Linked DNA regions of Astyanax mexicanus. Each later gene encodes a partner of the first gene's protein in a complex. Links are inferred from orthologs where the notes say so. Each region holds a gene or a part of one and is shown in the gene's direction. Other genes may lie near its edges. The genes, in order: cc2d2a, tmem17 and tmem67.

What was found.
Region 2: cc2d2a (region 1) and tmem17 share a complex: the UniProt entries of both Homo sapiens proteins name them as parts of the tectonic-like complex. The link is inferred for Astyanax mexicanus from reciprocal best matches to the Homo sapiens genes CC2D2A and TMEM17.
Region 3: cc2d2a (region 1) and tmem67 share a complex: the UniProt entries of both Homo sapiens proteins name them as parts of the tectonic-like complex. The link is inferred for Astyanax mexicanus from reciprocal best matches to the Homo sapiens genes CC2D2A and TMEM67.

The regions. Positions count from the first base shown.
Region 1 is NC_064420.1:12,023,781-12,034,709, reverse strand, and holds the start of cc2d2a (coiled-coil and C2 domain-containing protein 2A), read left to right. Parts: upstream 1-6,453; 5' UTR 6,454-6,600; intron 6,601-7,413; 5' UTR 7,414-7,542; coding exon 7,543-7,556; intron 7,557-10,057; coding exon 10,058-10,133; intron 10,134-10,566; coding exon 10,567-10,623; intron 10,624-10,929. Other genes in the region: complement C1q tumor necrosis factor-related protein 7, read left to right, coding at 2,309-2,937. UniProt on the Homo sapiens protein: Component of the tectonic-like complex, a complex localized at the transition zone of primary cilia and acting as a barrier that prevents diffusion of transmembrane proteins between the cilia and plasma membranes.
Region 2 is NC_064409.1:54,421,760-54,432,954, reverse strand, and holds tmem17 (transmembrane protein 17B), read left to right. Parts: upstream 1-6,955; 5' UTR 6,956-7,023; coding exon 7,024-7,138; intron 7,139-7,494; coding exon 7,495-7,598; intron 7,599-7,709; coding exon 7,710-7,823; intron 7,824-8,579; coding exon 8,580-8,723; intron 8,724-8,827; coding exon 8,828-8,926; 3' UTR 8,927-9,105; downstream 9,106-11,195. Other genes in the region: slc15a5 (solute carrier family 15 member 5), read left to right, coding at 1,222-1,582, 1,974-2,196, 2,306-2,475, 3,027-3,247, 3,815-4,001, 4,084-4,272, 4,458-4,589, 4,698-4,806 and 1 more; agbl2 (cytosolic carboxypeptidase 2), read right to left, coding at 10,352-10,466, 10,579-10,687. UniProt on the Homo sapiens protein: Transmembrane component of the tectonic-like complex, a complex localized at the transition zone of primary cilia and acting as a barrier that prevents diffusion of transmembrane proteins between the cilia and plasma membranes.
Region 3 is NC_064408.1:110,658,974-110,669,657, forward strand, and holds the start of tmem67 (meckelin), read left to right. Parts: upstream 1-6,404; 5' UTR 6,405-6,428; coding exon 6,429-6,624; intron 6,625-8,294; coding exon 8,295-8,383; intron 8,384-8,476; coding exon 8,477-8,567; intron 8,568-9,695; coding exon 9,696-9,795; intron 9,796-10,680; coding exon 10,681-10,684. Other genes in the region: rbm12ba (RNA binding motif protein 12Ba), read right to left, coding at 1,622-3,445. UniProt on the Homo sapiens protein: Required for ciliary structure and function. Part of the tectonic-like complex which is required for tissue-specific ciliogenesis and may regulate ciliary membrane composition.

The DNA.
Region 1 (10,929 bases):
AGAAGATATCTTAATGAATCATAGTAGTAGTATCTCACTTTAAAACACAATCCGTCACTGCTAAGTGTTTCTCTGTTCTGCATCCAGATCTGCTGGCAAAGTTCAAAATTCCTATAACAGATGGAGTTGGAGAATGCTTTGGTTTTTTTTACTTACATGGTTTTCACATGGAGCAACAAACCAGGGTTTTACTACAGAGGAACTTATACAGCAATATGACCATTCTTGTCTATATTAGACGTATTAGACAACAACATTGGACAATTTGAGCTCAATCTTTTGTGCATTTTAACTGTTTTACTTCAGATGCACATATCAATCATAATCATAAACATATTGACATATTATTTTTTCTCCTGTCCCATGGAACCTAAAGAACTCTGCACTGACCTGCAGTATATACTGGTGTGGTCATCTGTATTAAAAAGTGGATGTGAATTCTGCCAAAGCCACTGCACTGTCCACTGCAGGTGATAATGCCTTCTATCACATATTCCCAGTACACACGTGACATTATAGTCTGGGGAATGTTAAATATTTGCACAACTTCAAATTGAAACTACAAATGGTATGTCTCCTCTATCTGGCACCCACTATCAGGCCTCATTCCAACTTCCATAATTCACATAAACTTGCCATGAGCACACTGTCCAGTGTTCAGTCTCACTCACGAGAGAACACCTCCCCACTTATACTTTTTGTCAGGCAGTGTAGTGCACACAAAGGAATATACGTCTACATGCTAGGCCAGGCAGGTAAGAACATGTTTGAAAAACATCATGGAAAAGCTGACAATTTGTAAGCCTTCAATGACAGATTTGTGATTTGGTTTGTTTACATGGCTCCATTTCAGCTGGTGACCACATCAGTCATCACTACCTAAGTCAACACTATGAGTGCCAATAAAATTATCCCTACACTTATAACAGGCATTCAAGCAGATGTGTTGTTGGCAGGCATCCATTTGGGACCAGCCACAGTAAAAGTCTGATGTTGTACTTTATGTTACTGTTCAGTTATTATTTAACCTTTATCCGGTAAAAAATGTGCATTACAAGCCATAACTTTGTAAATCAAAAGAGTAGTTTTTTTCAAGAGACATACAGTCCCCTTCAAAAGTGTTGGAACAGTGAGGGAAACTCCTTTTTTGTTTTAGACTGAAAAAAAATTGTTTTGACATTAAAAAATTATAATATAAAACAAACCATTAACATTTCAACTTTAATTTCCGTCTGGATCTGATACTCAGTTCAGAAAAGCACCATCTGTCTGAACCTACCCATTTTTCTTTTGTTTTTTGAGTGAAATAAATAATACTTGAAGCTGATGTCTGTAAGTTTTGGGATTTAGGGCCCTCTCTGGTGAGAATGGATAATTGCACCAAGCATTTGGAAGAATCATTTTAAACTGGGCAGATGTGATGTGGTCTCCTTTCAGAGCGGATGAATCCAATTCCAGGTTGCGTTCTGTCAGAGAGAGAGAGCGTGCTCAGTCAGAAACTTTACTTCAACTAAACACTTTGGTTTTACTATGAGTGAATGAGTTTCCCCTTCTGAAGTCTCCATTGCTCCACCAGCCACTCACGTTCAGTAAAACTGAGCCGGATCCTCTTTCAGAGGCTGTACATGTGGCATAAGTACGTAAAGACATGTGACGTGGCCAGAAGAACTCCCCAGTACCCCAGTTTTTATAAAAAATATATATTAGTCTTAGCAGGGATGGTTGTTCCAGCACACTGGTACCATTAAACACAATATACACATATATAACACATAATATGGACTGCCACTTAAATATTTAGTTCAAGTCTTTTGCTTGCAATAACTGAATCAAGTCTATGACCCATTCAACTTTTGCAGTCTTCTTTAGTGATGCTTTTCCAGGCTTTCACAGCAGCCTGATTCAGGTGGTGTTTGTTTTGGGGCGTTTCTCTCTTTAGACTCCTCATTAGCAGGTAAAATGCATTCCTGATAGGTTTTAAGTCAGAAGATTGACTATGCCAGTCTAAAACCTTCCAATTCTTACTTCTGATGTAGTTCTTTGTAATTTAGAGTGTTATGGTTCATTATCTTGCTGCACGATGAAGCAACTTTCTTTAAACGAACAGACAAAATGCTTCTATAGACTTCTAGAGTTCCTTTGTACATAAATAAAGTTTAATGGGTATGTTCCAGAAAAAGCCATGCAAGCCCAAGCCATGACACTGGACACCTCCACTGTGTTTCAAAGATAAGCTCTTATGTTCAGGATCATGAATTCTGGTTTGTTGTTATTTTAACCCCTGCTTGTCCTGCTTGTGTTCTCTCAGGCATTAAAGGAAGAGTGGGGCCAACGGGTAAACTCGGCGAGCGTGGAGAGAGAGGACCCATAGGGAAGCGAGGTCCGGAGGGTGATGCTGGAGACTCAGGACCCCCGGGACCACCAGGGTCACCAGGAGAGCGAGGAAAGAAGGGTCAACGGGGACCACGGGGCACCCCAGGCACGTGCCTCTGTGGCAGCCTGGTGCCCAAATCAGCCTTTTCTGTGGGCATCACCAGCAGCTACCCAGCTGAGCAGTCACCAATCAAATTCAACAAGGTCCTTTTCGATGAAGGTGGGCACTACAACCCGCAGACTGGCAAATTCATCTGCGCATACCCAGGAGTCTACTACTTCTCCTATGACATCACACTAGCTGATAAGCACCTGGCCATCGGCCTAGTGCGGAATGGAGAGTTCCGTATAAAGACTTTTGATGCCAACACCGGGAACCATGACGTGGCTTCTGGATCCACAGTGATGTACCTCAACCCAGAGGATGAAGTGTGGCTAGAGATCTTTTATAAGGATCAGAACGGTCTGTTTACTGATCCTGGATGGGCGGACAGTCTCTTTTCAGGGTTTTTGCTCTATGCAGATACTAATTACCTAGATACATTGTCAGAGGATTACACTTAGACGTAAATAATGAAGCATTCATTAGAGAGATGTTTCTCAACCCTGGGCTTGGAAGATCACTGCCCTTCACTTTATAGTGTTTACTCTGCTTCCAGCACACCTGATACAACTAATTAGCTCATTAAAAGTGTAAGGATTGGCCCCTGGTCAGGGCCCCCTCCAGCCACCAGAGGGGGGCCTCGAGTAACACCGTCACTTGGGTCTGTTTACTATCTGATTCAGAGGGCTCACTTACTAGAGCGAGCCCAACCACTACAAAAAGCCTAAGACTTATTCAGTAAAACAGTGGAAAAACACTAAACTGTTCCGGGCAATGTACCTTTAGGACCAGGGCTGAAAAACACTTCCATGCACAGAATTAGGCTTTTCCCAACTATATCTTGCCACAGTGTATGTAATTTATAGTAAATTGTGACAGACAAGTGTCTGTACCATTATTTTTCCATGTCCCAAAAGGATTTACAAGTGTTTACAGTAATAATTTTAGACTAAGGATAAGCTTAATGTGGTGTTAGCAGACCTGGACCCATGTAACACAACATGTACCAAGTTGGAGTTTCTAGTCTTACAGTTATTTAGCCCAGAAACACTGTGTATATGCAATGCATTTTCTTGTTCAGTACAGTGTCATGGTCTAGTATGTGGTGCTTTTATATATATTTCTTAAGATAAGGTAACTAATGTACAATTTAATTATGAAAATATTATATAATGTCTACATTACTGTAATTGAATCTGATGGTGGAACATATATTTTGTATTTATTGTAACAGTTGTATCAACACATTGGTACATAAGATACTTTTGTAAATATATATATATATATTTATACATTATACATATATAATACAGTCTATAAAAACTTTGTACAGTCTATAAAAAAATTACATTGTTTTTACTGCTCTGTTCATTGGATCTGAAACCGAACAATGTTTAGTCCCTTGAATGCAGTTTTGACAGTTTTCAGATAGTACTGTTCCGGAGGCTTAGGATGCAGGGCTGAGTCTTGGCTGTGTGAACTGTGATGTATTAGCTTGCATCATTAGCTTATTCATAAGAGTCCTAAAGTCTAGGTGTCACATCATTTGAAGTCTCATCATTTGTTTTTCTTTTCTGCAAAGAAAAAGTGTAAATGTCAGTAACACAGTCTGTCATGAGGATAAACCAACTACAGAGATACACACATTACGGAGGAGTTAATAAATAACCATTTTAAGTGTGTAGATATAATATACTTCTCTATAATGGAAAGTGCATTTCTTGGTTCCTCCTACAGTAAATATTCCTTGGTTCCTCCTCCGGTGTGTATTCAGATAAAACATGCAGAGGGGAATTTCCATCTTTACATGATCATCATCATCAGCTGGAATGCATATTTTCAAGCCAATAAAAACACTACAGGTATGTGTATGTGTAAATCATAACAGTAAGAACATGCTCTGATCCTGGAACAAAAATGTTTCACAAGACTCATTGCACCCGTATAGCAACCACTTAGCAACACCACATTAACCATAGAATTATTATCTATAATCCTCATAGCAACCAACAGGCATACCATAGCAGCATATCAGTTGTTGTACCTTTCACACTACATGACTTACAGGCAACACAGGGTGTGCTTTATCAGTTCCTCTGTAGTAAAACCACGGTTTGTTGCGTCATGTGAAAACCATGTAAGCAGACTTATCTGGCTTCTTTTCAACGACACGTTTTGTCATGAGAACACGGCAAAACTAAACATGTACAGAACTAGAAATACCTCTTGAATGGAGTACAAAATGAATAGGTTCATATTGTTGCTGTCCAATGTTTAGTTCACTACATAATTTGAACACACAAACTGTCCCTTACACTGTGCCAACATTTATTGACTACTTTAAAATGACCTGAAATAAATACATTTTACATTGACTTCTATTAAAACTTTAGAAGTTTTTTTCTTCTTTAGAAGATTCTTGTTTTTCATTGGACAGCAACAATATGGAGAAACTGAGCAAAATCAGAGTTAAAGTTTATAAATGTCTGATAATTTTAGACTGGCTGTAACTCCAGCATCAGCTCACCAACCAGTCAGCACAGAGTAGCAGTATTGCTAGCGCCTAAAACTTGTTTTCTGTATGGAAATGTATGCGTTCATTGCTTTACTAGTAAAATACATTATTCTGCTTTCTAAAATTAAAGAAATACTATTTTTAATTTAAGTTTTTAGCTTTTAGCTAAAATTCGCCCCCATTCTTCAGGACTCACTCACAAGTTCCCTCTACTATTTAACAGTGTTTTCCTGATATAACAGGGGAAAGAGAAAATACAGAAGAAACACTTTCGATCCGTTGTTCTCTTATTCTACGTCATTCCATTTTACCCAGTAAATGTAGCAATATTGTTACTGTGAGCTGACTGGTTGGTGAGTTGATGCTGGAGATAAAGGCAGGGCATGTTGAAAAGACTTATAACTGGAGTTTAAAACCATTAAAAATTGTCTGTGGTACTGTAACATTTGATATTGTTCTGTGTTGACAACATTTATTAATTAATTTTATTTGCCTAGTGTCTGCGACACATCTGCGATCACTCTTTCAACCCTGGGTGAGCGTCCTTCAATACTGTATACTACACAAGTGTGAGAGCTACAAGTGATTGCTGATTTGCCTCTGATCAAAGATTTTTGTGTGTGTGTGTGGGCGTGTGTGTGTGGGGGGGGTATGTCGGCAGAGGCTGAAAGTCACTAATAAAGTAACTTGAAAGTAATTTTAAAAAAAGAAAGAAAATCAAGTAATCCATAACATAACTTTTGCATGTAACGTTTTTCAAGGGGTGATCAGTAATCAGATAAATATATTTTTTTATATTTTTATCCCATTTTACCCTCTCATTAGGACTCCTGCTATCACTAGTGATGCCCCAACACCAGGAGGGTAAAGACACAAGCTCAGAGGAAAGTGCAGTGACTCGGTTCAGATACATCAGCTCACAGACGCCTTATGCTGAACCACGTCACCCTTTGGTGTGATGTGGGGAGAGAGTGCCATGTACTCACCCAGAGAGATCAAGGCCAAGTAGCTGATAGCAAGTTACATGAACAGGATTCGTACCTGCAATCTCCCATTCATAGTGGCAGCACTTAGCCCGCTGGACCACTCAGAGCCCAGATTACTTTTTCTGAGTAACTATGCCATCACTAATGGCAACCACCAGTAACAACCTACTGACAGTTTGGAGTCAACCCCATAGTAACCAGCTTAGCAACCATATAGTACCATCTTAGCAACAGCTTAGCATCCCCATAGCAACTATCTAGCAAGGGCATTTTTGCCCAAGTATCCACTAGAAGCAAACTAGTGAATCTGAATGGAAGTGGGAAACACTTCTACTTATTCATTCAGTATTTTTCAGAAAACGCACTTTTCTGTTTTTATTACCTTTTTTTTAAACATTTTTTTAGAACAAGATAAAACACAGCTTTCTTTTGAACTTACCTCATCGCAGTTTGTTGAGTGACAGTGTCCTTGGCCAATGAGAAGACGGGCCGCGAGATGAGACCCCGCCTCTTTCAGCATGCAGGGTAGTGTGTCGCGCTGTGTGAGCGGTTCGGTTGAGGGGAAGTATTTACCGTTACCAGGCAGCGGGGGAACAGGATGGCGGCTAACTCTCAGTGTTTCAGTAAGTGTGGAGAAATAAACAGGAATAGATACCGTGTTAAAGCATTTATAAAGCTATAAGACCTGCTCAGTTTTTAAATATCACAGCGGAGTGTCGATAACAACCGCCTGGATAACAAACACACGCGCTAAAGCTGTAATTTTCACTAGTTAACCGAGGTTTACCTAGCTAGCAGCGGGATTAGCTTAGTATCCTCTGTGTATAACCTAACGGTACCGTTTCTGTCTCCAGTCTTGCTCTTTTATCCGTTAACCATATTTTATTTTTTGTATTTAGACAGAGCTGACTGAAATATAACTCAGTATGTCTCCTCGTATGAGCGACTTTTAACGTCAAACCTGTTGCTAAACGCAGTTCACAGGTTTGTTAACAAGATATCTTTTTTTTTTTATCAGAACTCTTCAGGTTTGCTGTAACGTTAACGGTTTAACCCCTTAACAGGCCTTGGACTGTAACTTACATGGGCTACAACTGTAGGTGATACAAACCCCTTTTCTCTACAGTAAAATAAGTTATTTACATTCTGAAAACACAAGGTTTAGAGAACAAAAAAAAAAAATCATTTGTATTGTCAACAACATGGATTTTAAAAAGTTTTGGAAAGCACCATTTTTTAGGCATTATGCCTAATTTTGACAAAAATATATATATATATTTCTCAACAATATTTTTAATCATTTCCAGTACAGTTACAGTTAGGATTTTCTTTAGTAATGCTTGAATAGAAATCCTCAAGATTTATGCGTGCAATATCATTGATTAAAATGCTGGCCTGTTAAAGGGTTAAATATGCTGTTCTCTGTATGGTTTCAGGTGAACCCTGTCGTTCTCTCCAAAGAAAAGCTTCGACTCTTCTCTCACCTGCCCTCTGAAATGTAGTAAACACAATCCACAGGCTGAATATCATTCAGAAGAGAATAAACTAGAACCTCCTCCTCCATCATGTCCACTCCCAGGTGAGCAGCACTGGAGCTAACTTATTGAAACAGTAGTAGTAGAGAAGAAATGATGATACCAAATATAGTACCAGTCTAAGTATTGGACACCTATTTTCAGTCATTTTTTTTCTTTATTTAAATTATTTTCTACATTGTAGATTAATATTACAGACATGAAAACAATTAAGGGACACAGTCGAATTACATAGTAAACAAAAAAGTGTGTCCTCCACAATCCCCTGATCTAAACCCTGAAAATGGGCTTGGTGATTTGGGATGAGCTGGAGCTTCGAGGCGTAAAGGAAAAGCAGTAACTATTGTTCAGCACTAGGGTTGCAACGGTATGAGATTTTCACGGTATGATAACCGTCTCAGAAAATACCGCGGTATCACGGTTATCACGGTATCACAGTTTGTTACATATATTATTAAACTGACCCTTAAAGAAATTACAACAAAGGTTTTTTGTTCAATTAACTATTTATTGTAGAAACCTGGAACAACTATATAGATAATGTCTCCTTAAAAAAAATAAACTGTACACCATTAGGTGAAGGAAACCAGGTTTTTCCACTACTCTTAAGGTCATTAAGGGTGTATATAAAAAAAAATATATATATATAATATATATATATATATATACACATACACACACACACACACACACACACACACGTGTCACACATTACATGTCCTCTAAGAAGTAAAGATCCTGTGTTTAAACTATTCAGTACAATTATTTAAGTTTAAATTATACAAGTTGGTGTATAACCAGATACTGCAGAAAGAGGGTATTTATTTCTGACATAATCCTCACAATAGAGATTTCTATTTTAAGGCTTTCACACCGAGTCTGGTTTTAACACATGAAAAACAGGCACGTCAGAATTTGAAAATTAACGCATGTAAATGAATGGCGTCTTTCACATCCAGTCCGGCGAGCACCTTTACACGGACACGTGAATCCGTCGTAGCACACACTTCACGCCTGTACCTGCGTGCCCAAATTTCGGATAACTCAGCGCTTTTGCGGGCGCTTACCGCATGGGTTGTGCACGACTACAAAGAGATTTTATTTATGTTCAGATTAAAATGATAAACTAAACACATACTTTGCGCTGCACGGCGGGGTGGTGTTCTTGGAGATGGGAGAACAGGTTTGACGTATGTCCACCTTTAGCTGTGACTTTACGGCCACATTGATTATAAATCGGATAACCATCCTCGGGTGCGTTCGGCGGGTCTCTGAAATAGTCCCACACTGCTGATTTTAGTTTAGCCTTTTTTTGGCCGGACGGAGATTTGTTTAGTCTGATGCACTTTCTGCTGTTCTCACCGCTGTGTGCTGAGCAGCTGAAGCGGAGCAGAGTTGCGCATGCGCGGGTGAGTTTCTCCGCTGGCTTGCGTTTTACCGGTAATAAGCAAACACACACGGTATGATAACCGTGCATTTTAATACCATGGTATACCGTGAAACTGGTTACCGCTGCAACCCTATTCAGCACCTCCAGAAAATCCTTCAAGGTGCTGAGAAAACTATTCCAGGTGACTCTACCTTATGAAGACACTGAGATTAAAATACTAAGAGTGTGCAGATCTGTCCTCAAAGATAAATGTGGCTTTTTAGAAGAATTATAAGTATAAAACACACTTTTCGTCTACTGAATAGTTCAGCATGTGTTCCTGTATAGGTTTAATGTCTTAAATATTAGATTTACAATGTAAGCACATTGAATGATAATAATAATAATAGTAGCACCCAGGCTAACTAAAAACATGAAAGCATCATGTTTTTGCCCAAACCTTATTTAAGTGAGAAATACATATTGAGTTGTGATTTGATTGCTTTTTACTGAAACAAAGTAAAAGGATAAAAAATAGCGCTTGTGCCCTATATCTTGGCAGAAGTGTACAAAACCTTAAAAAAAGAAGATAAAAACTCTGAAGTCAATTCCTGATTTTCTTGTTAACTTTTGACACAGAAAAATGTTTAGTTAATGTTTGTAAAAAATGAAAAAGTAAAAGCTTTTGTTCCAACCACACTGAAAGATAGAACATAATTTTATAACTGACTGTTAAAAAAAATATTCCCTTTTTAAATTATTATTTATTATTATTATTTTTTATTTTTTTATTTTATTTTTGTTATATATATCGTGGTTAAAAAAATCTGTTCAGAACCCTGTGTTTTGTGTGCTAGACCCTCTGGACATATTTATTTACTATATAACATTTATTTCTGTCAATGAAAATCAATGTTAGATCCAAATCATGAGTATTACAGAATGAGGCATGACTTCAAAGGTCTATGTGGTATAATAATGACACTGGTGTGAATAACTGGTTTGATTACACTGGGAGAAAAAAAATGAGCACATAGTTTATTCTATCCTGACAGTTCAAAATCAGTGCCTTCAGGTTAGTGCATGCATTTCCGCACCCCACAGCCTACTGTTCCACAGAGTGTGTGTGCAGTTTCCAGTTTTAAGGTCACCTGACTGTTTAGTGCTCTTCCCTAGTGATCTGAGGGACAAGCTGCGGAAGAAACGGAGGGCTCTGCAGGAGTCTCTGGGGAAAGTGAAGGATGACACTCAGGTATGTGTTGCGGCAGTGTGGTTGAGTCTTGGCTTCTATGTTTTCTCAGAAATAGATCGTTTTTGTCTGCAAATTAATTTTGTTTGTTCAATTGTATAATCACTTACTGTACTTTCACTATTAGCCAGCATGCTATAGTAGTAGGTCAGTTTATTAATCCATGGGATTTCCCTAAAATGCAACACTTTGCAAGTCTGACAAAAGTATACATTAATGTGGGGCTTGGGGCTCACTCTCACACACTCAGCTTTAACTGAATCCACACACAAAGACATTGTTTATAGTTAACTGCAGACGACTTCAGCAAAAGAGCATGACTCAACATGCCTATTGAGGTGCTGGGGCAGCATGAACACATACTAACATACTCAAACATAGCACACACACACAAGCTGGTAAGACGCTCTGTGTACTCTCTGTACTCTACTGTTAGGCTTTGGTTCCCTCCGACTCTGATGTGACTAAGGAGAATGAACGCACTGCGGTGGAGGTTGGTTCTATTCGCCTCAGCTTGCGTTCTAACATTTATTGCTGTGTTCTGTCCTATCATGTTCCAGAACAGCCCTGCTGTGCTCTAGAACAAAGTTTCTTACCCTGATGTTCGGTCCTTTCAACACTCTTAAAAAAATAAAGGTTCCACAAATGGTTCTTTGAGCAATGCCATAGAAGAAACATTTTTGGTTACAAGAGAGTAAGGTTCTTTATCAATTTGAAGGTTCTGTACAACTCATAAGAATGCACAGAACATGGAGGCTTGCCTTAACAAGCTGCTATTCTGTCAAATTCAAAACGCCTT
Region 2 (11,195 bases), on another chromosome or scaffold:
CACAAAACACATCCATCAAAATTACAACACAGGCGCAGCAAATAGAAAAACGCGCTGCAAAAAGAAAAACGCGCTGCAAATAGAACCACAACACAACGGAAGTGAGTCACAACACAACGGAATTTTCCCGGGGGACCTTAAAAGATGCTGTACCAGCTGTATACAAAGGACAATAAGTGGCAAACAAGCTTCTGAAAAGTAAGTTATGTTTATTACCTGTGATTACCACGGTTGTGTGCATATTATTAAAAGTTCTGCTTCACAAAACGCCTTGTTTGCCACTTATTGTCCTTTGTACACATAGTGAAGTCCGAGACGTTACTGAAGACGCAGCTTAGCTGGTACAGTATCTTTTAAGGTCCCCCGGGAAAATTCCGTTGTGTTGTGACTCACTTCCGTTGTGTTGTGGTTCTATTTGCAGCGCGTTTTTCTAGTTGCAGCGCGTTTGTCTATTTGCTGCGCCTGTGTTGTAATTTTGATGGATGTGTTTTGTGCTTTTGCAGCGCTTTTCCATTTGCACTGCGTTGGGCTTTCTCGGCCACCGTAGTTAACATATCATTGTGTCTAAAAATCTTCTAAACTATAGCATTCAAAATGAATGCTGACTTCCACTGAAAATCAAGAAGGTATTTCCTTCTCCTGTAAAGCTGCTACTTGATTTGTTTTTTGTTTGACAGCAATGATATCCTTGCTTGAAGTCCCAAAGTCAAATGCTGTCAACAGACCATTTTATGTCAGTACTCAAGCATTCAAGACAATCACAAAATAATAATAAGCTAAGTCACTTACACACATTTCACAATTCCCACCTCTCCTAAGGCCCACTTCTCCTCACCGGGGGGAGGGTACTAATATTAACAGACTAATAAATGATAACCTAGATCCACTTAGAAACTCATTACAAAAATATCTCACACACTCCTGACATCACTTTCATGTATAAAGGCTTGTGTCACCACACTGGCATCATGTCCACCACCCTAATAAGCTGACTCAGAAACCAGCAGCAGCAGTCAGTTCATACTCTAGTGAGGAGAACAGGTGAACAAACATTACTCAGAAGTCACAGGAGAAGATCAGCATGAGCTTCTGCACGTGTAGATGCTGGCAAATAAGACTTCACAGTCCTGTGAGGAATTGCTTTGTTGTTTCCCAGATTGGATAGAGAAGATACTGCAGTGCTCAAGCAGCACTTCACACAGGAGGACCTGAAGAAGCAGCATGGCGTCTCTCAGTGTTCCTGGCCTCCATGGTGGCCGTCAACTGCAAAGGGTCTCGACCGCTCGACGCCCGAGTGGGATGGTCACCCCATATAAGCCTCGAAAGTCCAGAAAGAAGCTGCAGGTGATTATCTGTATTCTTTTTGTGGAATTGTTCGAGAGGTTCACCTTCTTTGGGATTGTTTGCAATATGATCCTCTTTTGCACCATCAAGCTGGGATATCACAATTACCAAGCTGCCACAGTCAACCTGTGTTTTGTTGGAGCCAGTACACTCACACCTGTTCTTGTGGGCTGGTTTGCAGAGACGTGTTTGGGGAGGACAAAAGTACTCTATCTTTGCGCTCTGCTCCATTTTATAGGTAAGTTGACACTGTTGTTATTAAGAAACAATGCAAAAAAATGTATGACTAAAATATGTAGAAAAAACTTACAATGTGATTCATGTATGTGTTGATTAAAATGTGTTTTAATAATTTGTTTAATGTGTGTTTGTTAAAATGCAGATTGTATCAGCATTTTTAAGGTCTGTACAATGCACACGGTTGTGGTAAATGTTGTTACATGAATCAGATGTTATATGGTCACGATGGAGAACATGTTTGGAGTGGTATATCAGATACCACAGCATGGGATTTGCTGAAGGCATGTAGACTCCTGTATGTCAATATATTCCAAGAGTCCAACACTGTCTTACAAGCCTTGAATGAATAACAATTCACATTACATTAAGTCCTGATTTTCTGTCCATAGGTACTGCCATGCTCCCTGTTGTTGCATTCCCCTTTGAGGATTTCTACATTGACACACACAATATTATTCACCGACTAGAGCCACGAGAGCAACAGCTTCTCTTCTACGTTGGGCTGCTAGCCGCTGCCCTGGGTATTGGGGGCTTCCGTGCTATTCTATGCCCGTTAAGTGCCTATTACCTTCAGGGTTATGACCAACACCAGATACTGTCCTTTTTTAATTGGTAAGACATTAAATCATTAACTATAGATAATTAAGAGCAAATCAAAATGCTTGTACATCTCTGGAAGGTTATGCTATTGATGTAAAACTGATGGTATTTATAACCACAGGCTCTACTGGCTTGTGAATCTCAATTCTACAGTTGTGTTCCTGGGGATCTCCTATATTCAGCAGTCTGTGGGTAAAAACCTGGGCTTTCTCATTCCCTTCACCTCTGTTCTATTGGCTCTTGTTGCGATACACATGGCACGCAACAATCTCATCTTTCATCCAAAGAAAGGTAATGGACTAACAAACACATACAGATAAACAGATATACAAATATACACAAATAAAATAAATGTGCTGTTTATATAATTCTGCATAGATCAAAACTTCTGCAATAAATTATATGCAATAGATGGTATTCATTGGAGTCCTGTTTCTGCCAGAACATGTCGTTTGGTCAGACTGAAACAGCCAAACCAGCTATGAAACAAGTGGTCATGTGTTTAAATTGAAGGCCGTTGGGCTCTAGAGCAACAGACCAATTAGAAACTAGAAATTAGGTTTCCTTACATTGTTATGTACATTGATTTCAACAAGTTTTTATATTTAATCACACAAGGGCTCTTTCCCATTTTGTGTCTTCACAGCATTTACAATGAACGCTAATGCTGCCACTCAGTATACTGCCACTGGGCATAATCACACAGACTCTCCCCAACTGTGATATCATATGTGTACCCTCTATATATAGATGACACTGAATTTCACATAACAGTATTTGATCATTGTGTCTTCTTCTCTTCCTTCATTCCATTGACCTTTCATGTGTGGGAAAACACACAGCCAGTTTGTTGCTGACCACACTGGGTGTGTTCCTAAACTCCTTAAAAATGTCCTGCCTCCATTATCGTCATTTGAGTGGAGACGTGAATAATTGGCTGGACCGTGCCAAGGAGAACAATGGAGGACGCTACAGTGAGACCAGTGTTGAAAATGTTAAGATCCTGGTTAAGCTTTTTCCTCTTTTTGGACTGCAGCTGCTCTACCGGGCTTGTATAACCCAAGTAAGTATATATGCGAAACAAAATTTTCTGTTAATGTTTGTTACACAATAAAAAGGTGTTTGTACGATTTGACCTAAACTTCCTATAATTGCACCTATAAAATACAAAATAAGTGGACAAAAGTACTAAAACCCCTGCTCCTGTCCAGGGAAATCTATTAGATTTTGGAGCATTGCTGTGAGGATTTGATTGCACTTATACCCCTCCAGTCCACTACTGGCATTAGGCATAGTGCCAATAGATTCACATTTAGCTGCTTTGGAAAAATTCCTATACTATTGGTAGCACTCAGGGACTAGACAAGCAGTTTATATATGTCCATTTGTACATTTGTGTCAGCAATAGCTGCAGAAGGGGTGTCCACAAACATTCAGACATATCGTTTCCACCACTTGTACATAAACTGATCTTATACATAATGTAATGATGAACATTTAATCTTCAATTATTATTATTATTATTATTATTATTATTATAATTCATATTATCTCTGTTTAGGTATTATCTCTGAGCGCAGATGTCCATTCCACAGTTGTATAACCAATAACATAATTTGCATCTTCACAGATTCCATCAGGATACTACCTCCAGACCATGCATTCAAATCTGAACTTCAATGGTTTCCTCCTTCCTATAGCAGCTATGAATGTGATCAGTATCCTGCCATTGCTAATTTTAGCACCACTACTGGAATTTTTTGGCACCTGTTATCAGTCTTTGAAGAAAACACCTCCTTCTCCAGCCAAATTCATAAGTATGCATGTCCAATGAATTATAAGTAAGTGTGACAGGTATGGAGTGTAGTAAGCTCTACTTTGTGACATCTTTTCTTGCAGCAGCGGGACATGCCTGTGCAGCTCTGTCTGCACTAGCTGCAGGGATTACTGAGATCCACAGGAAAGACTTCTCTCAGGTGGAGCAGACACTGTCAGGAACAGTACTACAGGTGTCCTCAATGGCCTGTTTTCAACTTGCACCTCAGTATGTCTTACTGGGTATAGCAGAAGCATTTGTCACACCAGCATGTAAGTATGCATTTTAATAATGTGCAAAACATTAAACACTAGGTCCTATTACTGATTTCCAAAAGATTCACAGATTATTATAAATAGACCCAAACTGTCTAGCTGAAAGCAGCTCATCTCTACTATGTCACTGATATCCTTGATTCATGTAATTCATGCTTTTTTTCTAATCCTTTTACTTTTAGGCTCCCTCATCTCTTTCTGTATGACTCCTAGTAACCTCAGAGGCATCTCCCTACACTTCCTCACTCTCTTCTATGGAGGAGGATGCTTTCTGGGTGCTGTTCTGACTCAGTTCTTTTATCTTGTTTCTGGGGGTAAGGCTTTCTCAGCATTTTGTTAACACAAAGCAAAAACTCGGGGGCAATGGTTCATCAGCCACTGCTAATAAAGAATCATTTTCATTTGATCATTTCTGCCTTTAGGGAACTTCTATCCAAATACACTCAGCGACGGCAATCTGGAGAGATTTTTCTTCACTTTGGCAATTCTGATGACCATAAATACCCTGCTGTTTTGGAGATTATCTTGCAGGTAGGCTACAAATTCATATTTTGTTGTATCATAGGAGCCCTTAGTGTACACTGGAAACACATTATCAATACCAGAGTTTGTTCATTCTGACCTATAAGGTATGAAATGCATCAGGAGGTCTACTTAAAGCAGCATTAGTAACATAGTATTTTTAGTCATTGGCTTAACCTAAAGGTGAATAATCCATTATGAGATACTGAACCATCACTTAAAGTTGTAGTAGCATGTGAACTGAGTAGTACTATTACAGGATTTTACACAAATATGTGTCCTGCTCCCTTCACCAAAGATACATAGTGATACCATTTGCTGAGCCTGGATTAGCAAAAATATGAACAAAAGTCTCAAAAAGATAGCAGTGTTGTACTCTGTTGTTAAATCCCACTGTTCTCACTGCATAAAAAGTAAAGTTTTGTTTTATTGTTTTATTCAGATTTAATACATATAATAGTGTTTTATCTATGACAGATGTTATTTATTGTAAATTATTTAATTTAAACAATTCAAATATATCCCCTTGCATACAGTATAACAATACATCTATGTACTGAATTGTAACCCCTGTATCGTGATACGTATGGTCTCTGCATGTTCTTTACAGCCCTAATTATCACAACAACAATTAATTTAGAGCAGAATTAATGCAGCTTAGTAGACCTGGCATACATGGACAAATAAGCAAAAAGTATGTTTTGCAATCTTTTTAAGCAGGATTGAAAAAGTGTGGTACTGTATGAGCTATACAGCTTTAGTGGTTTGGCTGTGGGAGTTAAATCCTTGCTCCAGTCTCTCTGTGTTTTCCATATGAACCCTCCTGTGTTTTTTCCTATCTCCCAAAAACATACCAGTAGGTGGGTAGGCTATTCTAAATTACAGCTAGATATGAGTAAATGGAGTGTGTGTAGTACCCTGAGTTACACTGGCAACTTCTCTAGTAAGTATTCCTGCCTTGCACTCAAAAATTCCGCCCTCACCATGACGAGTGAATGAAATGGGGAAATGGGTCCTTAACACATCTGATCTACCTAAAACATGAACATAAAAATGTATGTAAGGTATGTCAAGTTTTAAGACAGAAAATGTAGACTTGTAGGTTGATACACAGAAGCATGGTTGTGCAACTAATTCTGACAGTATTGTGTTGATACTGCACATTGTTTTTTTGTTGTGTTGTACAGGTACACAGACCTGAGTGCTGAACTGTGTAAAGAAGTAAGACAGAGTCACCTGGCTGAGAAGCTCCTGCAGCATAAATCTTGTCTCCGATTCTACGACACTGTGGATTACACTGGAACATCAGCATCCTTGGAAATGATCCTCTGACTCCTGCATGATGATGGTCAAGCCCCAAGATGCTGGCGTCACACAAACATGAAAGACTTAATACTGGCATACATAATTTAGGATTTTGCTTCCTTTTTCCTCAAAACTGTGCTAGTGAATTGGTTAATGTAACTGAGCCATTTTAAATCTACAATAAAGTTATTTTGTAATATGACTTTTATGAGGAGATTCTTCTATCTTATTGTTCTTATTTATTTAGGTTTTTAAAAGCCATCGTATGTAAGCTAACTAGGTTCATGAACAGTGGTGGACAATAGAGAAGTAGCCTGTGTATTTTGTCACTGTACTATTTCCTTTGGTTACCTTTGGTTTATATGTGCAAAGCAAACTCACCAATCAGGGTAGAGCATGCACTTTATTATGTTTTGACCTGTTGGCCATGGCTACTTAGTGCCAGCTTAAAGTCAATGCAGTGGTGTGAAATTTTGGGAGTGTCTCTGCCTACATGAATGATGGAATATATGGAATATATTGATGTAATATATTAAATATTAGTAAATATAGTAAAGGAAAACTCATCTGTGAACTTGAGTTTTAAAGGAATTGTTTAAATCTGTTTTATGTTTTTTTTTACCTTTATCTCTACCTTAAAGGAGACATTTGGTGTGAAATAGACTTGGAGTGTAGTGAAACATGATTACAAGTAATTGGATTATATTCCAGAGCTTTACAATTTGGTAAAGTAAAAAAAACTCAACATTTGTAAATTGGTTTTAGACTGACTTTTGTCTGGATATGTTTGTCGGACCTGGCAACCCTGATTGCAGAGCTACAGCAAGTACAGCGGTTCCCTGCTGAACACGCCCACAGCTGTTGCTAGGAGATGATGTTCAGCAGTTAGCGTTAGCGTCAGGCTGAGATGTGTGCTCCATCATGGATCTACCGGAGCCCATAAGAAGACGTTTGGGGGATTTTTCCAGAACTGTTTTCGTGGATCAGACATTTTCTAAACTTACCCCTGAGGATCATGTCAAATTCCTGAATCAGAGTGAGTCTGTCCTGATATCCAACTGTGAGCTAGCTGGGTTACATCTCATGCGTGCTAACTAGCTAACCGCTAAAACAATAACATCAGCTAGGTTAGCGTTAGCTTTGGCAAAGAAGCTGCAACTAAACTTCTAAAAAGGAAAATGAACCTCACTAACGTTATCTGGCGTGCAAAGCTGAACGCACATGAGCTACTGTGTATTTATTGTCGTGTTTTAATTGGCTAAACCAGCTTAGCTAGCGTTATCTAATTAATTAACTAGCTTACAGTTCAGTGTAGTAACCTAACGTTAGCTGTTAAATGTGGTAGACTAGACACTCAGTTCTCCCCACTCTTATCATGTATTCACTATACAGACAGAGAAGTCGTGTCCAGTTTGCCGCTTCAGATGTCCCTTTTCTTCAACCTATGGTTCTTTCCTCTGTGGTGGATCAGTGAAGTGGTGATGCTGCAACTCAAAGTAAGTAATCTAGCTAGGTTAACTAACGCTAGTTTGGTAACTGTCTGACCTGGATGTATGTAGTAACTAACCTAAGTTAGTGAAGGTAGCTTACCTTGTATTCTGTTTTAGTACCCAGCCCTTCCAGACTACTACAAGTTCATCTTAATTACCGTCCTGATTTTAATGACCCTCATCGAGGGTATCAGACTCTACCTGGGTTACGCTGGGAACCTGCAAGAAAAGGTAAAGACTTCTCTAATGTAATATCCATACGCATCTTTATTGAGAATCAATGTCAAATCTGGTTTATTGTCAGATCACATTAGGTGTGCAGGTAAGTTAAAAAAAACTTAAGACCACAATAGCTATATACAAAAAATATATATATACACGCAACATACATTGAACATAATTTTTTTTATGAATTATTAAATTTATTTTATACATTGTAAATTAATGTTGAAGGCATTTAGGGACACACAATGAATTATGTAGTGGAAAAAAGGGGTTTGGCCTCCACAATCCCCTATCCTAAACCCAACTGAGATGGGTGATTTGGGATGAGCTGGAGAAAACGATTCCAGGTAATACTACCTAATGAAGCCACGGAGAATATACCAAGAGTGTCCAAATATATCCTCAAAGCTAAATAATAATTGTGACTACTAAAGTAGCCTAAAATATATTCTGGTTTGTTTCACATTTTTTGTTTGCAAAATAACTCCACATCTTCCTGTATAGCTTTAATGTCTTCAATGTTAAATTTACAATGTAAAAAAAACATAAAAAGAAAGTTAACACATTGAATAAGATGTGTGTCCAAACTTCCTGACTGGTACTGAATATAAACTATATACATGTGTAACATTACTCTTCACATATAGACAATAAATAAAATGTGAAATCTAAATGTATGTAACAGCATTAGTGGAGAGAGTAAATAAAATGCAGGAGCTTTTTGTTTGGCAGGTAATAATCAAACATTGTTTCTCTTTGCAGGTTCCCGAACTGGCTGGATTTTGGCTTCTAAGTCTCCTTCTTCAGTTTCCATTGACTCTCTTCCTGCTTTTTAATGAAGCTATACTCATTCAACCTTTGGAAAGAGGAGTGCATATCATTCTCGCTCTATTTATTTTAGCAGAGGTATGGGCAGCACTCTCATGGGCATCCTTTAATTCAATTCATCCTTTTTTTAATTAATTTTTACTCATTTGTGTTTGATGTTTTACCCCAAATATCATTCACAGGCTCTCTCTGGTTTTGTTGCCCTTCGTGCAATGGTCAGGAACACCGAAAGCCGCTTCCATCTTCGGCAGTTTAATGGAATTCAAGAACTTAGAGCATAACGAATGCTTCTAAATCTGAAGATCTGCACACGTTTAAAGAACCAAAGTGACCATAAATAGCATTGGTGGGAAATATTTCGGATCATTCTCTAACAATTTTTTTACCAATTATTTTTGTCATAGTATTTTTTTGTAATTATTTGTATATATTTTTTTATTTAAAAATATATTAAAAAGTACACATTGTCTGTCTTACTTCATATAATATGAAAATAAAAATAGATGCCTAGATTCAGAAAGGATATACAAATAATGGAAGATGGAAAGGTTGCATCTAATGTTTTAAGTATATTAAGCATAAATACATTTCTTCACAATATGTTCTGTCCATTATGAGAAAACACAGCAGTCACGTCACATCAGTGTTTTTTATTAAAATAGCTGAAAAATACATAATTGTCTCAAAAAGATGGTAAAATATGAAACCTGTCTACAGCTGAACAAAGACACAATAGATGTTTCTGTACTTCATGGCCTACATTCATAACCTGGCCTGCATCATTTTTGTGTATGTTCCTTTTTTAGGTTAAGTTTGTTTAGATAATTTTAAGACTCTACTTAGTCAATAGTAAACACTGAGCAAATTCGACAAATATCAAATCGGTTGTGTTTAACTAGTAACAACTAGTTATATTTGCCAATATATGATATCTTTGTGTTATCAGAAATTATGTAAGCAGTGAAAGTGATTACCTGTCATCTGTCTCAAAGCAGTATTGGATGCTTTTGGTTTAGTCACAGCTTAGGGTATGTGTTAATATTTAATAGATACTAGCTACTGTATACATACTTATTTGTGTGGTTCAACCCATTTTTAATTTAGTTATGCATAAATCTGAAACAACTAGCTGACATGTAAACTTGCGCACAGCTGGTGCAACCAGCCCCTGGAGAGAAGAAGTACCAATTGTGAAACTTAATTTAGAGCCCTACTTATGTTTTCCTTGACTTTAGAAACAAGCACAGGTCCTAGACCATTACGTGTACTCTGAGATGTTTTAGAAACACTCCTTTTGCTTTACCAGCCATGACATGCTGTACTATTGAAGTATTCCTGACATGTGTGTTTTTGCCTAGAGGTAATGATAAACATGCATACACCAAGACGCTCTTTCCTAGAATATCGCTGATTTGAACCTTCTGCAGACCTTCTGAATCCATCGTTTCTTTGTTGTGTTCTGCGCCTGCTCCTTATGCGGTGTTAGCCTTTTCCAGTAGTATATTTCCGAAGTCTCTGTACAGCATGCTTCCTCTCTGTAAACAGGTACAAAACAGAGTTCTTGCATTACTCTTTGCCTTAGCCTAAGATATAAGAAGAAACTAATCCCCTTAAACTGGAATGACTACTTTTGCACTGGTCTTTATAAGGTGCTAACTCAAAATAAAATAAAATAAAAGCAAAGGATATAAATCATATACCTGCCTTCACTCTGCTGGCCCAGGTAAAGCTGCATCTCCCCAGGGTGCCGACTGCCTTGCACTCCCTTCTGGCAACTTGCCCAGTCTGAGACCTCCTAGTCCAGCCTGGTCACCTGAGGGCCTGTCATGACAATAGTTGTGAGGCATTCCAGTATACAGCATTCTGGTTTAAAACGCTACGAAAATAAGAACCATGTATAATTTTAAAAAAAAGGAAAAAAGCTGAAATAAACCTCTTGTTAATTCTTCTTAGATTAGGTAAAAAGGAGACGTCATTTTTCTCTTGCTTACTGAGCTGCTCTGCTTCATTCGACTGCATAGAGTCCGGCACAATTACAGGAGCTAAGACAAGAAAGAAAGAAAAAAATAATAATAAATTCTAGTTTCTACACTTGACACATATTAGAGCCCCACAGGACCAACACAAAGTAGGTATTCTTTGGACACTGATGTGTGTGGTGTGTTAGTGTGTGTTCTGGTATATGAATAAATCTGACACAGCAATACTGCTGGAGGATTACCTGCACAAACTGTGCAGCAACAAATGAGCTTCTGACTTTACATCTACAAGATGGACCAATTAGGTAGGAGTGTCTAACAGAATGGACACCATGTTCAAAAACTCCAGCAGCACTGCTATATCGAATCCTCAATCACACCGGAACAACTCACACTAATACACCAGCACCACCCTGTGGAGTCCAGACCAGTGAAGGACATTGTGAAAGAAGGATAATAAAGTTTGCACAGACACAGAAGGACCACATTCTGTAATTATAAAACTACTAAGTGGTTCTATATGATCATTGCAGCTTATATGATGTGCAGTAACAAAGAGGCTGTTTTAATG
Region 3 (10,684 bases), on another chromosome or scaffold:
TTTGACATAACAGGAAGTGAAACAGGAGCTTTTAAGACAAAGGTGTGTGACATGAACACATTTATTTATGACTGGAATCAAAATATATATCTTCAAAATCATTACTTAAGATTCCAAATGACCCCTTTGTTATCTGTACATAAACTATGTGTAGAATGTACACTGAGATTCAGTTATATTAACTTTTCCCTGACTTCCAGCAAGAACAAAATCCATCACTTTAAAGCAGGATTTAAAGTTCAGATAAGCTCACCTAACTTTTAAATAACCTTTATTTTAGTGTTATGTTACACTTGTCAAAAAAACAAACAAATCTACCTTGTCTTAAACTGCTGTATGTCCTGGAAAATGCTTAACTAAAAAGTGAGAGCCCTGTTAAAGGAAGTTTGACTCAGTAACAACCAAAATGGTTCTATATAAAACTGCCCTGCATGTTTTAATGCTTTAACACGCATCCTTCAGTCTAAAACGGGCTGTTAATGAGCTAATAAGTTGGATCAGGTGTGTTCATAGCAGAAAAACAGTAACACAAGCGTAGGGCATTTGGCATCCAGCATCAATGCGTATTATGTGTAGTTTAGTGCTATATAGAACATTTTTGCTTGAGTGTAGAAATTACTACTACTTGTACTAACAAGTCACTTTAGAATCTTTACATCCATCTCAACACTTTACAAACATATTTTGTTGCTGACTAAATAAAAACATGTCTCTCCAGTTGTAATTTATAATGTGTGAAAACTAAATCATAAGGAATGCTCCAAAATGCAGTTATTTTTACAGTACATTTTATACTGTCTTCCATAAATCAATGTTATTTTTCTTCTTTTGTAAAGTTTCTAGTACAAACGACTATACTAGAAAACAAGTTTGTCTTTAGGCAACAACAATATGTCCTGGAATAGTCCAGACCAACACAAACAAAACGTCAGTATCTGTCCACACATGAAGATTTGGCAGCTGTTTTCTCATATACCTCGTTTTTGATGAGCAAACATACAGATGTGGAATTATTTAAAGGCTGTATCTGAAACTTAAACATGGATAGGATTCAGATGCAGTAAGGCACTCAATAACATCTGAATTTATAGTTTGGTAATCAATGTACTTTTTTTATTAGGTGAAAATACTAATGACAGTAAACACTAATATCTAGTATTGAGCTGGCAGGTTATAAAGTCAACTAAGCAATTTCCAGTTTCAGACACAGCCATACCATTTGGCATGAGTGTGTGCACACACACTGCAACCATGAAAATAATTCCACTTGATTGCATCTCAATGCGCATTTCACATTTTTATTACACATTACTAATAAAAAAACTTTTTTTAGAACATTAAACATGTAACATGTTTTAGACAGGAGAAACACAGTTGTGAAATCAAAACCTTTATAGTGACCACTGTTAATTTGGGCAAGGAAAAACACCAGGCTTTTGAATTAAGACTGTACGACTGTGTTTCTCATGCAAATGTGCATTTACATTTAAATGTAAATAGTTTAACACTTTAAGACAAGTGCTGTAGTACTTGCAAGTCTTTTATATGTACAGTTGACAGTTTATTCGTCCAGGCACATTTTGACAGTCCTTCTCCTTGGAATGTTCTCAGAGCTCTTGGTTTAATGTGGTTCCTGCAGAATAGTCTTCATCTGCTGTGGTGAAACACAGGTAAGCATAATTTTTTGTCCCAAAAAGATGTTTCCATGCAGACTGCAAGCTTCTTTGGCAGCCTCTTCAGACATGAACTTGATTACCGCCTCCCCGATACTGTTTCCCTTCTCATCCTTGAGGAGTGTAACATCTTTTTCGTCAATCTGGTACAGACAGAAAAAGTCTCTCACCTCCCCTCTCCGAACATCAGCTGGGAAGTTCCGAGCATAGATACAGGTACGCTCAGACCAGTCTTGTTCTCTGTGATACGCTGGTCTCTGAGCCTTTTTATGTCTTTCTTTGTACATTATGTCCCTCATTTTTTCCATTGTGATGGATGATACATCTAGCACTTTTGAGCCATAATGTGTACCATCCATGTTCATGGCTGCGGCGTAATCCTCTGGGTGCGTAAACATGATGAAAGCTGTGGACGTTCGCTGTCCCCAGCAGTTTTGCAGATGGATGATCTTCTTGTTTGGGATGTGAACACAGCCAAATAGCTCCTTTATCTCGGTTTTGGTAGTTTTTGGAGAAAGGTTCCTTACCATAACGCAGTGCACTTGTCCAGGGGGCTGAGAGTCAAAGCGCTGCCGCTTTGGAGATCCTGAAAGCGACCTGTCTTCTGAACGTCGCTTAAGTGGCGGCGTCCAGGACGAATGTCTGTCTGGAGAGAGGCGGTGGTCCAGTTCTGAGGATGTGGTGGAACAGGGGCCATGTTCATCATCCAGCTCTAAAGCGTAGCTCCACATCCTTTCATAGGCCGTTCTTACCTCCACATAGGAGTCCATGTAGCTCATGTGGCTGTACTTTAGGCCCTCTTCAGCTTGTTTCAAAGTAGCCACCTTTATTAGGCAGCACTGGTCGCGGCCTAGGAAGACATTTGGTATGAAATCCAGCACAGAGAGGCCTTGGAGGAAAGTGCGGACATCTTGTAGGGTCACGTTGTTGGGAAGCCCATAAAGACGAAGATATCCAGGCTCGTTGCAGTTGGTCTTGGCCTTACCTCTCTCAGGTGCTGCTGCTGTTGCTTCTTTTTCTTCTTCAATATGCACTTTTCTCACTGGCTGTGGAATGCTTTCCTGCAGTTTGTAGCTGTGGTTGTAGTTTTTCTTTTTATTGTTGTTGTACGTATGATGGTCTGTTCTTTGATTTGTATGGTTTTTAGAATGGTATGGCTCAGGTAAAGCAGGTAATGGGTGAGAACTGACTGGCAGAGACTGGGCTTGGCTTTCTTGGTTGTTGTTGCTGCTGCTGCTACTGTTGTTGATAATGATGTTGTTGTTATGGTTTGACTGTAATCCTTGAATAGCAGCCACTAGGCCCAGTAGTAGAGCTGTGCCCAAGTCTGTTGGTGACTTTGATGGCTGCGGTTCTGGTGCTGGCCTTGGATCCAATGCCTTCTTTTCCAACTCCAGCTTTCTTCTTTTATACTCTGCTTTCTTCTTCTCCTCCGCCTCTTTCTCCATTTTTTCCTTCTTCCTCTCTGCATCAGACTTCTTGTTTTCCACTCCTGAGCTTCTTTGCTTTTTTAAGCGTAACTCAATTTTATGTTTCAAGTCAGCTATGCTGCTAACCTCAAGGGTTACCGATGATCCCTTGAGAATCTCCCCAGAGCGCTCCATGGCCAGCTGTCCATCTTCCTCTGTGGTAAAAATAATAAAAGCCTCTCCTCTCTTGCCACCAATGATGTGAACTCCACCCTCAAGAATGTGTAGGCCGTGGAAGAAGGCGCGAATGTCCTCAGAGCCTGCATCGGCACTGAGGCCCAGCAAACGCCGCACTATCACCATGATGGCGGGAAACTGCCTCGTCGAACACGTGACACTGCTGAGAGATACAAAACACAAAAGAATACACAGCTTGAGGAGAATTTCAACCCAGAAACCGCATCGGGCGCAGTTTAATCCGCCACACAGCGCGGTACAGCCCCGTGTAGCTGAACCGCAGCCCCCACGAGCCTCCTGCCCCCCTACTTTGTTCCGCAGCAGAAGAAGAACCAGCAGCTCTGAAACACAGAAACAGGAAAAACGGTTCACTGCCAGCTCCTCCACACCCCACTCACCTCTCAGTTCTCCTGAAAAAACGGACACTACTCTTAAACCGCGCTCCAAACACCCGCGTTTATTCACTTCACAAGCTTCACAAGCCTCACAGCGAGCTCAGCCTCAACCTAACGCCTCGTGCTTCAGACAGAGGCAGCGCGCTCTCTCCACACAACTTTTAAAGGGGCGGAGCGGCAGGAAGTGTGCACAGCCAATAGGCGGGGAGGAGGCTTTGCAGGGGGCGGGGCGAACAGTGTCTGGAGAGCCAATGGAACTGTGAATAAACTTTACGAACTTTTAAAGAAACAGAGTTAATATTACTGTGTGAATAATACTAATACTACTACTACTAATAATAATAATATCATATTTCTTAAAATGTAGTTTATTTTCTATTTTATTATGCGCTTTTCGTTTTGTAAATTACTGTATATTTAGTATATTTTTAAGTTTATTCTGCATAATTAGGATATTTTCTATTTTATTCTGTATATTTATTTTCGTGTATTACTGTATATTTAGTATATTTTCTATTCTGTATATTTACTATTGTATATCACTCTATATTTAGTATATGCATTTTTAGTTTATTCTGTATATTTATTTTCGTATATTACTGTATATTTAGTATATTTTTTATTCGGTATATTTACTATTGTATATCACTGTATATTTAGTATATGCATTTTTAGTTTATTTTGTATATTTATTTTCGTATATTACTGTATATTTAGTATATTTTCTATTCTGTATATTCACTATTGTATATCCCTGTATATTTAGTATATGCATTTTTAGTTTATTCTGTATATTTGATATATTTTCTATTTTAGATAGATGCTTTATTGATCCCAGAGCGAAATTCAGTACACATCCAATAGCAGATATACAGTACTCAGAAGCTACAAAAGAAGGATAAGCTATAATAATACAGATAATAATACAACAAGTAGAGTCTTATTTAGTTTGTGTGTAATGATGGAGGTAGTGCAGTTAAAAACAGTAAAACAACAATGAAAACCAGTTGATGTGAAAACTGATGTCAGCCATACAAACAGTGCAAGAACGCAGATGTGTTATACCCAGATTAAATTTAGCAGTGCAAATTTGTAGAGATGTAAACAGTGGGCAATAAATAAACTATTAGTACAGAAAAGGGATAAAACTATAAAAAAATAATATAACAGGGCATATCAGAAGGTGTGTTCACAGAGATGGGGATATGTTGATTGTATTCTGTACTATGCATGTTTGTCCCTTCTAGCCTTTAGCCCAGATGGGTTCATGTGTCCAGCTGAACTATTTCTGAGAATTCTATACATGTTGGAATGTCACATGTGGTTTCAGGTAAACAACGTACCGCTTCTCAAAAGGTCATTTCTATATATATGGTGAAGCTGTAAATAGGGTGGTTGGAATTCTTTAGGTATGCAGAGTACCATATAAGTGACTGTGAAAGAGTATATAAGCTGTTCAAAACACAAGACTGGGAGAGAGAGAGAGAACTGGGACACCGAGAATTGACAAGCTCTCTCCCACACTTTGCTTCTGATTGAAACAAAATATTTTGTTCCGATTAAGAAGGCAGTGTGCACTGAGTATTATTTCAAGAAAGACAACCGTCCAAGAACACCCAAAGAGAAGTCCTGGAAGGACAAGAAGACATAACAATGTCCATTGGAATGACCATAGTGGCCAGAATGAAAAAGTGTCACAGAGTTTTTAGTTTGCTGTACTTAGAGTCTTATGGCCTGGAGGGAAAAAGAGGGAGTATATTCTGTTTATTGAGTCCTGCATAGTCAAGTCAAGTAGTTTTATTGTCAGAACAGTATATGTACAGGACATACAGTGAATTGAAATTGCGTTACTGTCCTACCAAAAGTTACAGCAAAAAAATAAATAAAAAATAAATGCAACGCAATAGTTTATTTTACTATTTAGGGATGGTTTGTGGTATAAAAATACAGTTAATATCAAATATTAAAAAAAAATACAATGAATGAAAAAAAAAATGCATATTTCAGTTCATTAGGTTTCATTTATATATTAAGGACTAAACAGAGATTGAGGACAGAAAATAGCATCCTTATATTTTTCCATCACTGGAACATACAGCACTGGAAAAAATATAACAGACCACTTTACTTTTTGAATCAGTTTCTTTGATTTTGCTATTTATAGGTAAATGTTTGAGTAAAATGAACATTGTTGTTTTATTCTCTAAACTACGGACAACATTTATCACAAATTCCAAATAAAAGTATTGTCATTTAGAGCTTAGAGCTTTTTTGGCAAAAAAAAAAAAAAAAAAAAAATGAAATGGCTGAAATAAAAAAAAAGATGCAGAGCTTTCAGACCTCAAATAATGCAAAAAAAAAAACAAGTTCATGTTCATAAAGTTTTAAGAGTTCAGAAATCAATATTTGGAGTAAAAACCCTTGTTTTAATGCATCTTGGCATGTTCTCCTCCACCAGTCTTACACACTGCTTTTGGATAACTTTATGCCTTTACTCCTGGTGCAAAAATTCAAGCAGTTCAGCTTGGTTTGATGGCTTGTGATCATCCATATTTCTCTTAATTATATTCCAGAGGTTTTTAATTTGGTAAAATCAAAGAAACTCATAATTTTTAAGTGCTCTCTTATCTCTTTCCAGAGCTGTATAACTGAACTAACTGGGAGAGGAAAGGAGTGTTTATCGCCGGAAGGGGCGGGGCTTTTTGTTCTGCACCATGGCGACGGGGACGCTACAATCACCGCTTATTTTCCTCTGCTTTTTCCTCATATTATTGCAGTTTAACCCGTTTTTCTGCGAGCAGTTCTCTATATCTTTCTCTCAGCCGGCGGACTGCGGTCCCGGGGGGTATTTCGATATATCCAGTTTATCCTGCGCGAAGTGTGGAGCGAATCAAATCAGCGGGAAATCAGGTAGAGCTAACCCAGCTAACGCTAACTAAATAACAGCAGCAGCAGCAGGAGCTAGCGGGGCTAACTGCGGGCTAACTGTGGCTAGGTAGGGAACAGGGCTTTTAATTTAGATAATAAAACAGATTCAGGGTATATATCTGTCTGATACAGCTTCTGTTCACTGGTTTACTGTTGTGTTGGGGCTGTATAGCACTACCACCACCATGGCGTTGTTAGATAGTTAGCTAACTAGCATAGCTAACTATTTAACCTAGTTACCTAGATTAACGTTAGTGAAGTTAACCCTCTATGGCCAAACTAAACCTTACAAGTAGGGGTGGGTGGTATGGCCCTAAAATAATACCACAACAATATTTCATGGTATTTTGACGATAACCGTACTGTTGGCTATATGACAAAACACTGAATAAAAAAATAAAGCATACACTACTACAAAATTAAATTACATTTTATTATTGCATATAATATGATATGGCACACCCCTAAAACTTTTTAGCAGATTTGTAACAGAAGTCAATGATCCAGAATGTCATGATACTAATAACGCACTCCATATATCTCCATATATCCAGGATTAAAGTTAAATAAATTATACTGGACAGATATAATCTGTCTCTAGTAGATAATATATAACAATTATATTATTATAATATTGTTGGACTGGAACTCTTTACCACACCTGAGTCCTGCGTGTTCGTTGTATGGAGAATGAAGACTCTCAAGATCAAAAGTGATGTTCCAACGCTCACAAGTTTATTGACAAGTGCCAGGAGAATTTACACTCAGAAAGCGATCAGCATACCCCAGTGAAATTCTCGGCCCCGCTTTGATCTGACCCCTGTTTTATATGAAACTGCAAATTCTGCATCGTAATGTGGACGTGCTTCCAGAACACGTTGCACAGAGTCTGCATTTTATATTGTCATCATCTCCTTGGCCAGGTCCAATCTGGCATCCGGCGATAAAATCATCTGAAGGAGCGAACTTCTGCTTTTTAAGCGCTGAAGAGCAACTGGTGCATTAACATTACTGTAAATGCACCAGAATTAGCCTAAAGGCTATTTTTCATCCGTTGTCCCTGGACAGATCTTGAAATTGTCCACCTAAAAAACAACATGAAGATTACAATGAACAATGCAAATATAAAAGAGCAATAAAACAGATATAACACAGTCTATAAGTTTGCTAAAATACAGCTGTAGCTGAAAAGACAGCTGTTTGAGAACCACTGCTTTATGGCATAGTGTTGCCTCAGGCAACAAACCAAATCTTTTGTTATTACACCATATCATGCCTTATTACATTCCTTCGGAACCATGGAGCAACATGGAACAACAATACAATAGTCAGTTTGTGGCTGTTTGGTGGGTGGGGGGGTCAATTCCGTCTTTGTGTGTTGAGGAGTCTGACTGCCTGGTGGATGAAGCTGTTGCAGAGTCTGGTAGTGGAGGCATGGATATTCCATTGTCTTCTGCCGGACGGCATCAGAGCGAAGAGTGAGGGATGGGTGGGGTCTTCTACAATGCTGGTGGCTTTGTGGATGCAGCCTGTGGTGTAGATGTCAGTGATGGAGGGCTGTCCTCCATCTGCTGTAGGGTCTTGCGATCTGAGCTGTTGCTAACTTTAACTAAGCTTATTATCATTAACCTGAGGTTTGTGCTCTGACACAGGGTTGAGCTGCGTGTGTCAGACAGGTTTCAAGGTGCTAACCAGCAATGGAAGATCAGTCACCTGTCAAAAGTGCCCTGACTCAAAACCGGTATTAATCTGTCCGCTCTGTGTCTTTAAATATATTACCATGTTTATAATATGCATTTAGACAGTTAAACAATAACCCGGCTGTATTTTGCAGGGTGTTAGTCAGGATGGTTACGAGTGTATCCAGTGTCCAAGCGCTGTGGGGGAGGATGGTAAATGTCAGTGTCCTGAAGGAAAAATCCTGGGTGAGTATTTTAGATCGAACAGACGTATTAACAATACATGATGGCTACTTGTGGACATCTTGATCCCATGTTAAATCTGTTCTATGATGTCAACATTAAAATACCTTATACTGTGGTTTAATTTCAAATCCTTATTATATCTTGCTTTTTAAACTTAAAGCTGAACATTTTTAATACCCCAGAAGACATACAAACAAAGCACACTGATGTTTGATATACATTATTTGGTATTTTTGTTGTGTTTGATCAAATAATCTAATTAAGCGGATATTTGGTGCATCCCTAAAATATGCATAGCCATGCAACATGTCATGACTAGAAAAAAAGGGTTTACTTGCACATTAAAATCACATAATGGACCCTTTATTTTTTACCAGTGTAGAACAGACAGGACACTGAATACACACAGCGTGAAAGAATGTCAGTGAGGAGCACATTTGAATAGACAGAGGAAAAGGTTCGGCCTTGGAGGACTCTTTTATTTTGTTTCAGGCTTGTCTTTATCTTTATCAGAGCAGCCTTCAATATTGTATTCAGTGGTGTTGTATTCTGTGGTGCAAGTGCATAATGTGTTTTTATAAATATCTGCACTATAACACTATAATCTGTGTTTTTGACAGCAAGGGTTTCCTGCTTGTACAACTCCTATATCCTAAATGCATGCAGTCTCTGTCTGATGCTGTGATTTAAACATTAGCTGTGGTACAAGGTCACAGTGTAGCCATTATGTGGCAAAAGAAACATATGAATCCATTATGAGTAAAAGCATGCTTAAAACAGTAAAATAATATTTATGTTATATCAGCACTTCCTAAAGTCTATTAGTCTTGCAATATTGTGAAAACTCTAAATATAATGTTATGACTTCAACCACCACAAATATATAGCCACCACAGTTAGAATCAATGGTGTTCCACTGACATGAATATAGTAGAATAGCTAGCATCCACACATGCACACTTTCGCTGAAAGCACTCAATGATTAAATGTAAATTCTATCAGATATCTATGTTTCTGTATTTTTGTGAGAAAATAGTTTTTGTATAAAATACATTTTTAATTATTCAAAATAATAGATTTTTGAATTAAATAATTAAATAATTGTGTTTTAATTATTGTGTTTTTTAGTGGAAAGAAATGTGAGCGGGTCTCTTCTACAAGAAGCTGTATGTGAGGCCTGCATTGGAACAGAACCAGACTTTTCTGCCCCAGATGCCAAAGGCAACAGGTGACCTTGTCCTTTATAGCCTTTAGTAATGACTACATGTGTACCATTACATTAACATTATTTATGAAGGATTATGTGGTACATGGGAGTGGTACATGGGGCCCACAAATGACTTATTCTTGGATCCCTGTTAATATGAATAGTTTGGTAAAGAATCAGTATAATATGTTTTCAATGCAGTTGATCAGACAAGACATGTTTGGTATGTGAAGTTAGCTTTTTTAGTTTAGAAATGGGGATGCTGTAATGACAATATATTTCCGACTCCATTCCTCAGTCCTTTTTAAAGGCTTAACAATCTTAGACAAGTTTCTTTAAAAATAGCATAGAAATATTGTCCTTTTTTAAGCAAACCAGTATTATCATGAAGTAATACTTATAAATATAGTTGATGTCCAACAAGATGTTCAGCCACTTCTGTGTAGTGCTGCCACTCCCATACTTCACTATTAAAGATCTTCACGTTTACCATGAGTGTTGCGCACAGATTGAATTTGGCATATGCCTTTAACCCAGCGGTGCAGTAAACACACACATACTCACCGTATGTACAGCCTTCACTGTGGCACCTGCAGATCAGTGAGTGTTAAGGCTTTTGCTTAAGGGCCCAGCAGTGGCAGCTTAACTTCCTCGGGCATTTAACCCACAAGACTCATCAATAACCCAGTGCTCTAACCATTGAGCCACTATAGTGTTTGTTGATGACTGGACAATCGTACCTAACTATATTTTGCTATTTTTCTGCCTAAGAATATTTTTTAATTAAATATCAAATTTACTTATTATCTCATCACTCTTAATAAGGTTTTTTTATACTTTTGTAATACACTTTATATATGAGTCGCCTCTTCTCTTTTTGGTTATATTGTGCATTTGTGTGTCTAGGTGT